2 linked regions of the Rattus norvegicus genome follow. The protein of the gene in region 2 interacts with the protein of the main gene of each other region in a pairwise test. Links are inferred from orthologs where the notes say so. Each region holds a gene or a part of one and is shown on either strand. Other genes may lie near its edges.

Evidence for each region.
Region 1: the proteins of Xrcc4 (region 2) and Aplf interact in binary tests that used the Homo sapiens proteins (3 or more experiments, as listed by UniProt). The link is inferred for Rattus norvegicus from reciprocal best matches to the Homo sapiens genes XRCC4 and APLF.

The regions. Positions count from the first base shown.
Region 1 is NC_086022.1:121,677,102-121,681,352, reverse strand, and holds the start of Aplf (aprataxin and PNK-like factor), read left to right. Parts: upstream 1-1,420; 5' UTR 1,421-1,630; coding exon 1,631-1,726; intron 1,727-4,107; coding exon 4,108-4,179; intron 4,180-4,251. UniProt on the Homo sapiens protein: Histone chaperone involved in single-strand and double-strand DNA break repair.
Region 2 is NC_086020.1:22,905,289-22,908,935, reverse strand, and holds part of Xrcc4 (DNA repair protein XRCC4), read left to right. Parts: intron 1-1,966; coding exon 1,967-2,142; intron 2,143-3,647.

The sequences.
Region 1 (4,251 bases), on a different chromosome or scaffold from region 2:
AAATCTCTCTGGGGGAAACGTCTCTCATTTTGATAGGTCTGGCTTTTGGCTTTTCATCCAGCATGGGATCACTGAGGAAAATTCTAGTCTCTTAGGGCCCACTGCTCTGAGAGTCAAAACGAGGGTCACAATGACTTTTTAACTTCATTTCTGCCAGACTGGTGACAAGGTGGTCTCTTGGGGGAAGAGATGACCTTGTTGCCCCATGGAGGCATTAGGTGATCAGACTCCAGCCCCATGACAGGATGACCTCCTTCCGCAGAGTCATGCTGTGCAGGCCTCAATATGGAAGAGAAACCCTGAAGGCCTTGCAGAGTCTGTTCTCAGTCACAAGAAAGGAAAAAATCTTAACAGAGCAGTGCCAGACTCTGGGCCAGGCTTCTTCCAAAGAGAAAGTTCCCTGTGGCTGGAAGCCCTGAGCTTAGCAACTGACTTCTCCATAGAAAAGACCACCTCTGCCCTCCTCCTCCGCCCGAAGGTTTGTGCCAACTCCCCAACTCCAGATAGACTGCTTCCCCCAATCCAGGCCTCCACCAAAGGGAAAGAGGCCCGCTACAGATCCCAGCCAGAGAACAGGCCTCCTCTACAGAGAAGGAAGATCCTCCGGCCCCATGGGCCACGTGCCTAAGGCAGGCTTCTGCCTTTGAGAAGAGAAGACTCAATTGAGCATGGGGCTCTTGCACAGGAGAGTTAATGACCCTCGAGGCTGAACCCTAAAAGTCTAAATCCAGACATACTCCTTGGGGTAGGGAGGACAATCCTATCATTAAAGCCTAATTTAGCTGAAGCCGTTTCCTTATGGAAGGAAAGGAGAAGAAACACATACACACACCATACTCCACTGGGAAAAGAACATCATCCTGTTGAAGTCACAGGGCCACCAGGCCAGCACTGTGGCTATTTATTTATTTATTTATTTATTTTTTTCCGGAGCTGGGGACCGAACCCAGGGCCTTGAGCTTCCTAGGCAAGCACTCTACCACTGAGCTAAATCCCCAACCCCGACTGTGGCTATTTAAACACTCAGGCCAGGGCTGGTGAGATGCCTCAGTGGGTTAAGAGCACTCACTGGCTGCTTCTTCCAGAAGTCCTGAGTTCAATTCCCAGCAACCACACGGTGGCTTACAACCATCTATAATGGGAATCTGATACCCTCTTCTGGCATGGGAAAGCATACAGAGCACTCACATATGAAATAAAACAAACAAAAAAGATGTAAACACTCAGGCTTAGACCTCATAACTATTATAGTTCCACCCCCACACCCCTGCGCAGAGATGCACGCATTGCCTTTCGGGATTGGTAGTTTTTCCTATGATGACTGCATCCCGGAAAGGAGCGGAAGGGAGTTGTTAGAGACTACAAGACCCAGAGTTCCATGAGTCTTGTGGGAGGAAGCGCTGGAAGATTGTGGGTGTGAGTTACAGTTTTAAGCTGTAGTTTGGCGGTGAGCTGACAGGTAATTCCTGCACGAATCACAAGCTCTCAAGAAGTAGGGATTCCGGAAAGGGAAGAAGTTCACTCACTAGAAAAGGAGCCTCGGGTCTCACACCCCTTTGGGACTTGCGCGGCGTGTCTGAGGGAGGTGGCTACGAGGTATCTCCAGGCGAAGGAATCTGATTTTACCACCATGTCTTCGGAGTTCTTTCTGCATCCTCTGGACGGCGGTCCCCGCGTGCCCGTGGGGCCGGGGCAGACTGTGATAGGCCGCGGGCCGCTGCTGGGAGTAAGTGTGGGAGGTACTCCTGGGCGTGGGCAGCCAGAGTTTGTTCGGCTGAGGCTGTCTCTGTCTCCTGTCCTTGGGAACTCCACACCTTGACTCTGCTTGTCAAGACTTTATAGGTTTGGGGCAGTAGGTTTTCAAGCAACGTTAGTCAAGTCACCGACATTTCTTTTTGGTGCCTGGAAAACGTACGGAAAGAGTTAACATCATTATCCTATCCAGCTGGCAAACTGGGGCCAAATCCAAGTTGAGCTTAGGGTTATAAGATGTAGAATGTAAAAAGACCAAATAAACAAAAACGCTATTAAGTATTTAAAGACGAATAGTACTTTAAAGGTTAACGTGTCACATGTTGACCTACAAAGCTTACCCTATTTACAGTACCGTATGGCCCATCACAGAGAAGGTTGATGGCCAGTGACCTCCCCTAAGCTAACTTCTTTTATTCCCTGGCCTCTTTTGTGGGGCCGATGGGCCTTACCAATAATAGTAATATTCCTTTTGGTGATATCAGAAGCAATCGTTAAGTTGTCTGGGTAGTGAAGCAGTCATTATTCTAAAGAGATACTTTAGATTTACTACTTAGATGCTTTCTATTAGCCTCGTTGAAATGAGGAAGTTGGAGTTTAAACTGGTCACTAAGGTATAATATATTCTTTACCTTCTTTGGGAAGAGTAGGAACCAGAACATTTCCAGTTTGCACTATGAAATTATATTCGCGTTGCCATAAGACATAGCATTTACAAAGGCCACTCAAGAAAACCTGGCGATCTAGTTAAAATATCACAAGGGAGAGATGGGTTAGCCATTAAGAGTCTGGAACTTCTTACAGAGGATTGAGTTCCCAGCAGCTATGTCAGGCAATTCACAAATGCTTGTAATTCTGCCTCTCTGGGCACTGTACATACATGCCTATCCTGACACACAGGTATGCATATATAACAAAAAATAAAAATGTAAGAATTAAAAGAATTTCTGTTTTAAAAATCTGTGTGTATTTCCCACCTGAGCGGTATTTTCTGTTTTCTTGCTGCCCTGTTTCCTGGTTTCTTTCTCTTCTTTCCCCATTATCATATGAGTTTTGTGCTCCAACATAGACTGTCAGATTGGCGTTTCTGTCTTTCTTGTGCATCGTCGCTAAAGTGTTTTGTAATCTCCACCTCCGGATTGGGCTTTAGATGTTGATATGTTTTGCTCTAGCTGTTGATTCTTGTGGGATGTGTTGGAATGTTAGACTTTAGGTTATTTTAAATATATTTGTCTTTAAAGAGAGGATCTCACTACGTAGCCCAAGCTCCCCTTGGACTCAAATTTTTCCTGCCTCATTTCTCTGAGCCGGGTTTACAGGCACATATGTACCCAACGAAACCACTTTCTATTTATTTTTTATTTTTTATTTTTGGTCAAGAGATGATGTTTGTAATGAAATAAACCATGTGTCCACCAGAGGTCACACTATACTTTTGTATTATTCAAGATATCCTTTTCTTCCTAGTGTTAGGCATACTTAAAAGATAGATCTAAAAGATCTGTTATTGTTTATGTGGATAGTGTACAAAAGGAAGGAAGTGTACAAAAGATGGACTGTCAGAGGGACCGTTTTTCTATATGAATGACCTTACATGGGTCTAGTCATGTGACTGTTTTCTCACATATACCCTCTGTTTTTATTCGTAAGGATCTTGAACACTGCATATTCTGAGAGTGACTGCCCAAGTTACCTGCATCCTCTGGGCTTTCAGGATCCAAATATGTAAAATGATTAGTAGTTGCTGCTGTGAGGTAGGAAGGACGATAGTTTCCAGCATTTAAAATATAAGCAATTCGGAACATCGTTGTGGGTGAGTGATTGTGAATTGAGCATTACTAACCCAAAACAGGAAGTGATCATATCGAAGACATAGAGGTTGTTTTCCTCCTGCCTTTTTTTTTTTTTTTAACTGCCACACGTGGTCCCAGAACAGAAAAACTTTTCAGCCTCTGTCTACCCTTATGGTCACATCCTTCGGATTTACCACGTAGTTTAAGACAGGCTGAATTTTTATATTTGAAATGTTTCCTAACAGTACATATTGTATGTTATTTCTCTTGTTTGGTAGATTCATTAGTAGGAATCCTGTCTAGGAATGTTTCATGTATGGGAACTGGAGGGTTTGGGGCTGCATAGACTGTAGGCTTTTCTGGGTGTCATTTACTCTTCCATGATGTCGGTAGGTCTCCCCTCTTCACCACTGTGTCATCTGTTAAATGAGCGCAGTTATTTGACATGCAGTTATGAGTTAATAATATATGTAATGTCTGACCTGCTCGTCTCATACGCATTGCTAAGGGTTCGTTTATTTTTCAGGAAGCGGCTCTATTTGACATCTTTTTCCCCTTGTAGATAACAGATAAAAGAGTATCCAGAAGGCATGCCATTCTTGAAGTGGTTGATAGTCAGCTCCGAATCAAACCAGTGAGTATGTTGATCTCTTTTAACCCTTGGCCTCTTGCCCTTCTAGCAACTGACTGGAGAGGCCTCAGGCTT
Region 2 (3,647 bases):
ATTGGCACATTACTTGTATAGAAGTCTTTATCATGGCATTTTCATACAAGTCTACAATGAACTTTGATCATATCTACCTTCATTCTATTTTTCCTGCTTTCTGATGTTTCTCTTCTTTCTCCTCCGCACACATTTTTCAAATCTAGATTTCACATATAACAGAAAACATGCAGTTTTTTTCCAAAGTTTAGCTTATTTCTCTTAATTGTTTGCTCTCCTGTTTTATTCCTTTTATTGTATTGTATACCTTTACCATACTTTTTTAATCTACTCATTCACTGATAGGCAGTCAGGCAGATTCTTCTGTCTATTGTGAATAGTAACTACTGGATATGAACCTGTCCCTATTTTATACTGACTGATGCATTTGGGTATTTACCCTAAGAGTGCTTTAGAATGATCTATTCTGTTTGCAGTTTTGGGGGGAAGTGGAGATGCACTGCTTTACACCCCTATGAGTGATGTTTAAAAGTTTCTTTTTATACAGTTTATAAGTTTAAGTTTATACAGGGTCATCTTTTCCGCAACTACCTCTGACTAAGTTTCCATGATGCTCTCCAATCCATAGCCCTCTTTTCTTATGGCCTGTATGGTTGTTGTTGTTGCTGTTGTTGTTATTGTCAGTAACCTCCTGTCTCCAGTTGATCCTCAGCATATACATGCTAAGTAAAGGTTTACTGCATCTTTACCAACTTGTGTCGTTTTTCTTTTCTTAAATAGAGCCATTCTGACTGTGGGATGGAGTTTAATTGTCGCTTTGGTTTTAATTATCCCGTTGAGTTAGGAGGATATTGATCATTTTCTCTCAATTTATTTGAGTACTATTCAGTTCATTTGTACATTGATTAGGTTATTATGTCAAAGTTGGTTTTTCTTAGCCTTTATATTTTAAGGATACTAATTCCCCTGAGATAAATTGCTTGCAAATGCTTTCTCTCATTATCCCAATTTTTCTGTACAGTTTTTTAGTGCAGAAGCTCTGTAATTATGTGTACTCCTTTTGTAGTTCTCCCAGTTAGGTCTTGAACTATTGCAGCCCTACTCAGAAATTTCCTGTTAAGCCTATATTTTGAAGTATTTTCCTCATGAATTCATCTCTGTCTTTCCAATTTTTTGTCCTGGTATTTCCTGAGGACGGGTATGTTGGACATGTATCAACTGGGGCTGTGGACCCTACAGTCACTCATTCTTTGCAGTATTACTGATTGTGGATCTTCGTAGTACGCCTCTGCCTACTACAAACAAGGTTTCTTTGATGAGAGCTGAGAACTATATTTATCTTTGGAGATAAGGCACTTAATACAGAGTTAGAAGCTATATTGATTTAGGGAAATGGCATTAGTTCCGAGAAAAAGCCTCCATGTCAGGACTGGTTCAGTTCTTCCAGTCCTACATTAGAAGTTATGCAATAGCATCTCACTTGGAAATTGTAGGACTGCAACTAAGGACATTGGGATATCTCATACTTTGGGAGGATCTCTAGAACTCTTGACCAAGAGCATGATGGTTTCCCTTTTGTGACACTGGAGTTTTTGTTAGGTAAGCTGTTATTCCTGCATAGAGGAACTATTACCCACGTGGCATAAATCTGTAACACACACACACACACACACACACACACACACAGTTCCTAATTCTGAGTACATAGTCTGGTATAACTGCAGAAGCTGGAAAGCAGAGGGGATTAGAGACGAAGACAGTGAGCTCAAGAGATGGAGTGGACACAGGGGCTTCCAATGGGCAAAGGGGGGAAGTTTGGGTGCTTACCTAGGGAAGAGGGGAATGTGTTACAAGAGAGGGAGGAAAAAGATAAACAGCACTAAATGTATCTGCAAAAAACTACTGGGAAACATTTTATTTTATTTCTTCAAAGTTCTGTTATATTGGTTAAGTAGTTGTAACAGTTAAATCCATATTTTCTAATAGAACCTTTTGATTTCATCTCCTTAATTAATCTTTCCCATAGTTTCTGAATCGGAGATTGCACAGGAAGCTGATGACATGGCTATGGAGCAGGAAAAATACATGGATGAGCTGAGACGGGCACTGGTGCCAGAGTCGGGAGCAGCTGGTGCATACAAGTTCATCTTTTCCAAGGACACTCAGCATTTCTCCCTGGAGAAAGAACTGAAAGATGTTTCTGTGAGTAGCCCTTCCACGTTTGTTTTCATTGATACATTTTGTTTCACATTTCAGTAGCAGGTCCTGGAACAACTCAGAAATAAATACCAAGAAATTGCTTGGGATCCTTGTTAGTATGCTTCAATTTTTATAAAGGAAATCATATGTATAAGAAGTGTTTCTGTGAGGGTGTTGTCTGTGTGTGTGTCTGTGTCTGTGTACATGTGTGGGCATGCATGTCGTGTGGCCATGGCTGTGTGTGCCATGTCCCATGTGTGATGGTCATAGCCTCAGACTGTCCGCCTTGTTAGCAAGCACTTTTACCTACTACGCCCTCTCACCATTCACAATGTTTCAGAGTTAAAGTTGATGACATATTTCTTTCAACACTGCAAAGTAAACACTAGGAAATGTATTTACTCATCACTATTTAAAACACTTTAAGTACTGTATAGTTAATTACACGAATGAACAAGAGTATTAGACCATTGCAGCCTGGCTTTCTCAAATTAAGTTTGGGAAAATACAGAGTTTTAGAAAGAAAATATTAAGTTTATCTTTGCCTATTTAATAATTGATTTATTTTCTTTCTTCTAGTATATTTGAAATTTTATCTTATTTTAAAAAATTTTAATAATTTTTTAACTTGTGTTGGTGCCTTGCCTGCATATGTGTCAGTTCCCCTGGAACTGGGATTGTAGGCTATTGGGAGCTGCCTGCCACGTGGGTACTTGTAATTGAACCTGGGTCCTTTGGAAGAGCAGCTGGTACTTTTAGCCCTTAAGTCTTCTCTCCAGCCTTTTATATATGACATTCTAAAACAACATAGTTCAGTGTGGTAATACATATAATTAAGGAATCATGATTTACATTGTCCTACTTAAAAACAGTAGAGCAGAACTAGCTTTGTGTCTGAGCTTTTAAAGATTGTGTGCTTTCTAGACCCACATAATCTGCTACATGGCTCAGTTTCTGCACCAATTCTGACTAAGGAGCAGCTAGCTTAAAAGTTTGTGTTCACTCTCTTTACAGCCTCCCTAAATTAAATTAACATTAAATTCACTTTTGCCTTTTGTTTATTAATCATATGAGATCCACACCATAAGAAAGGGAACTTTATCAGGTTCATTGATAGTAATTAAGGAATTGGTTCTTGTTTGTCTGTTTTGTTTGCTTGTTTTGTTTTTAGTTAAATCTAATTTTTAAATGATTTTAAAACAATCTTTTAAACTCAATAGTACAGGAGATTTATCAATCTGAGAAGTATTTCAAGAAATAACTAAAATTATTATTTTCAAATATATTGTGGGAAAATAATATAGAATGACTGACTCTTGTAATTTCATTTACAAAATATATATTTCTATTCACTGTCAATACATGTTTTTTATTCTGTTGAGATTATTCCCATAATAGCTTAAAATAGGTTGGTTTGAAGTGACACATTCAGTTTAGTATCACTTATGTTCTTTTCTGTGGTCCAAGCTCAGTCAGATGACATTAAATGCCCTTATAAGTGCGCCTGC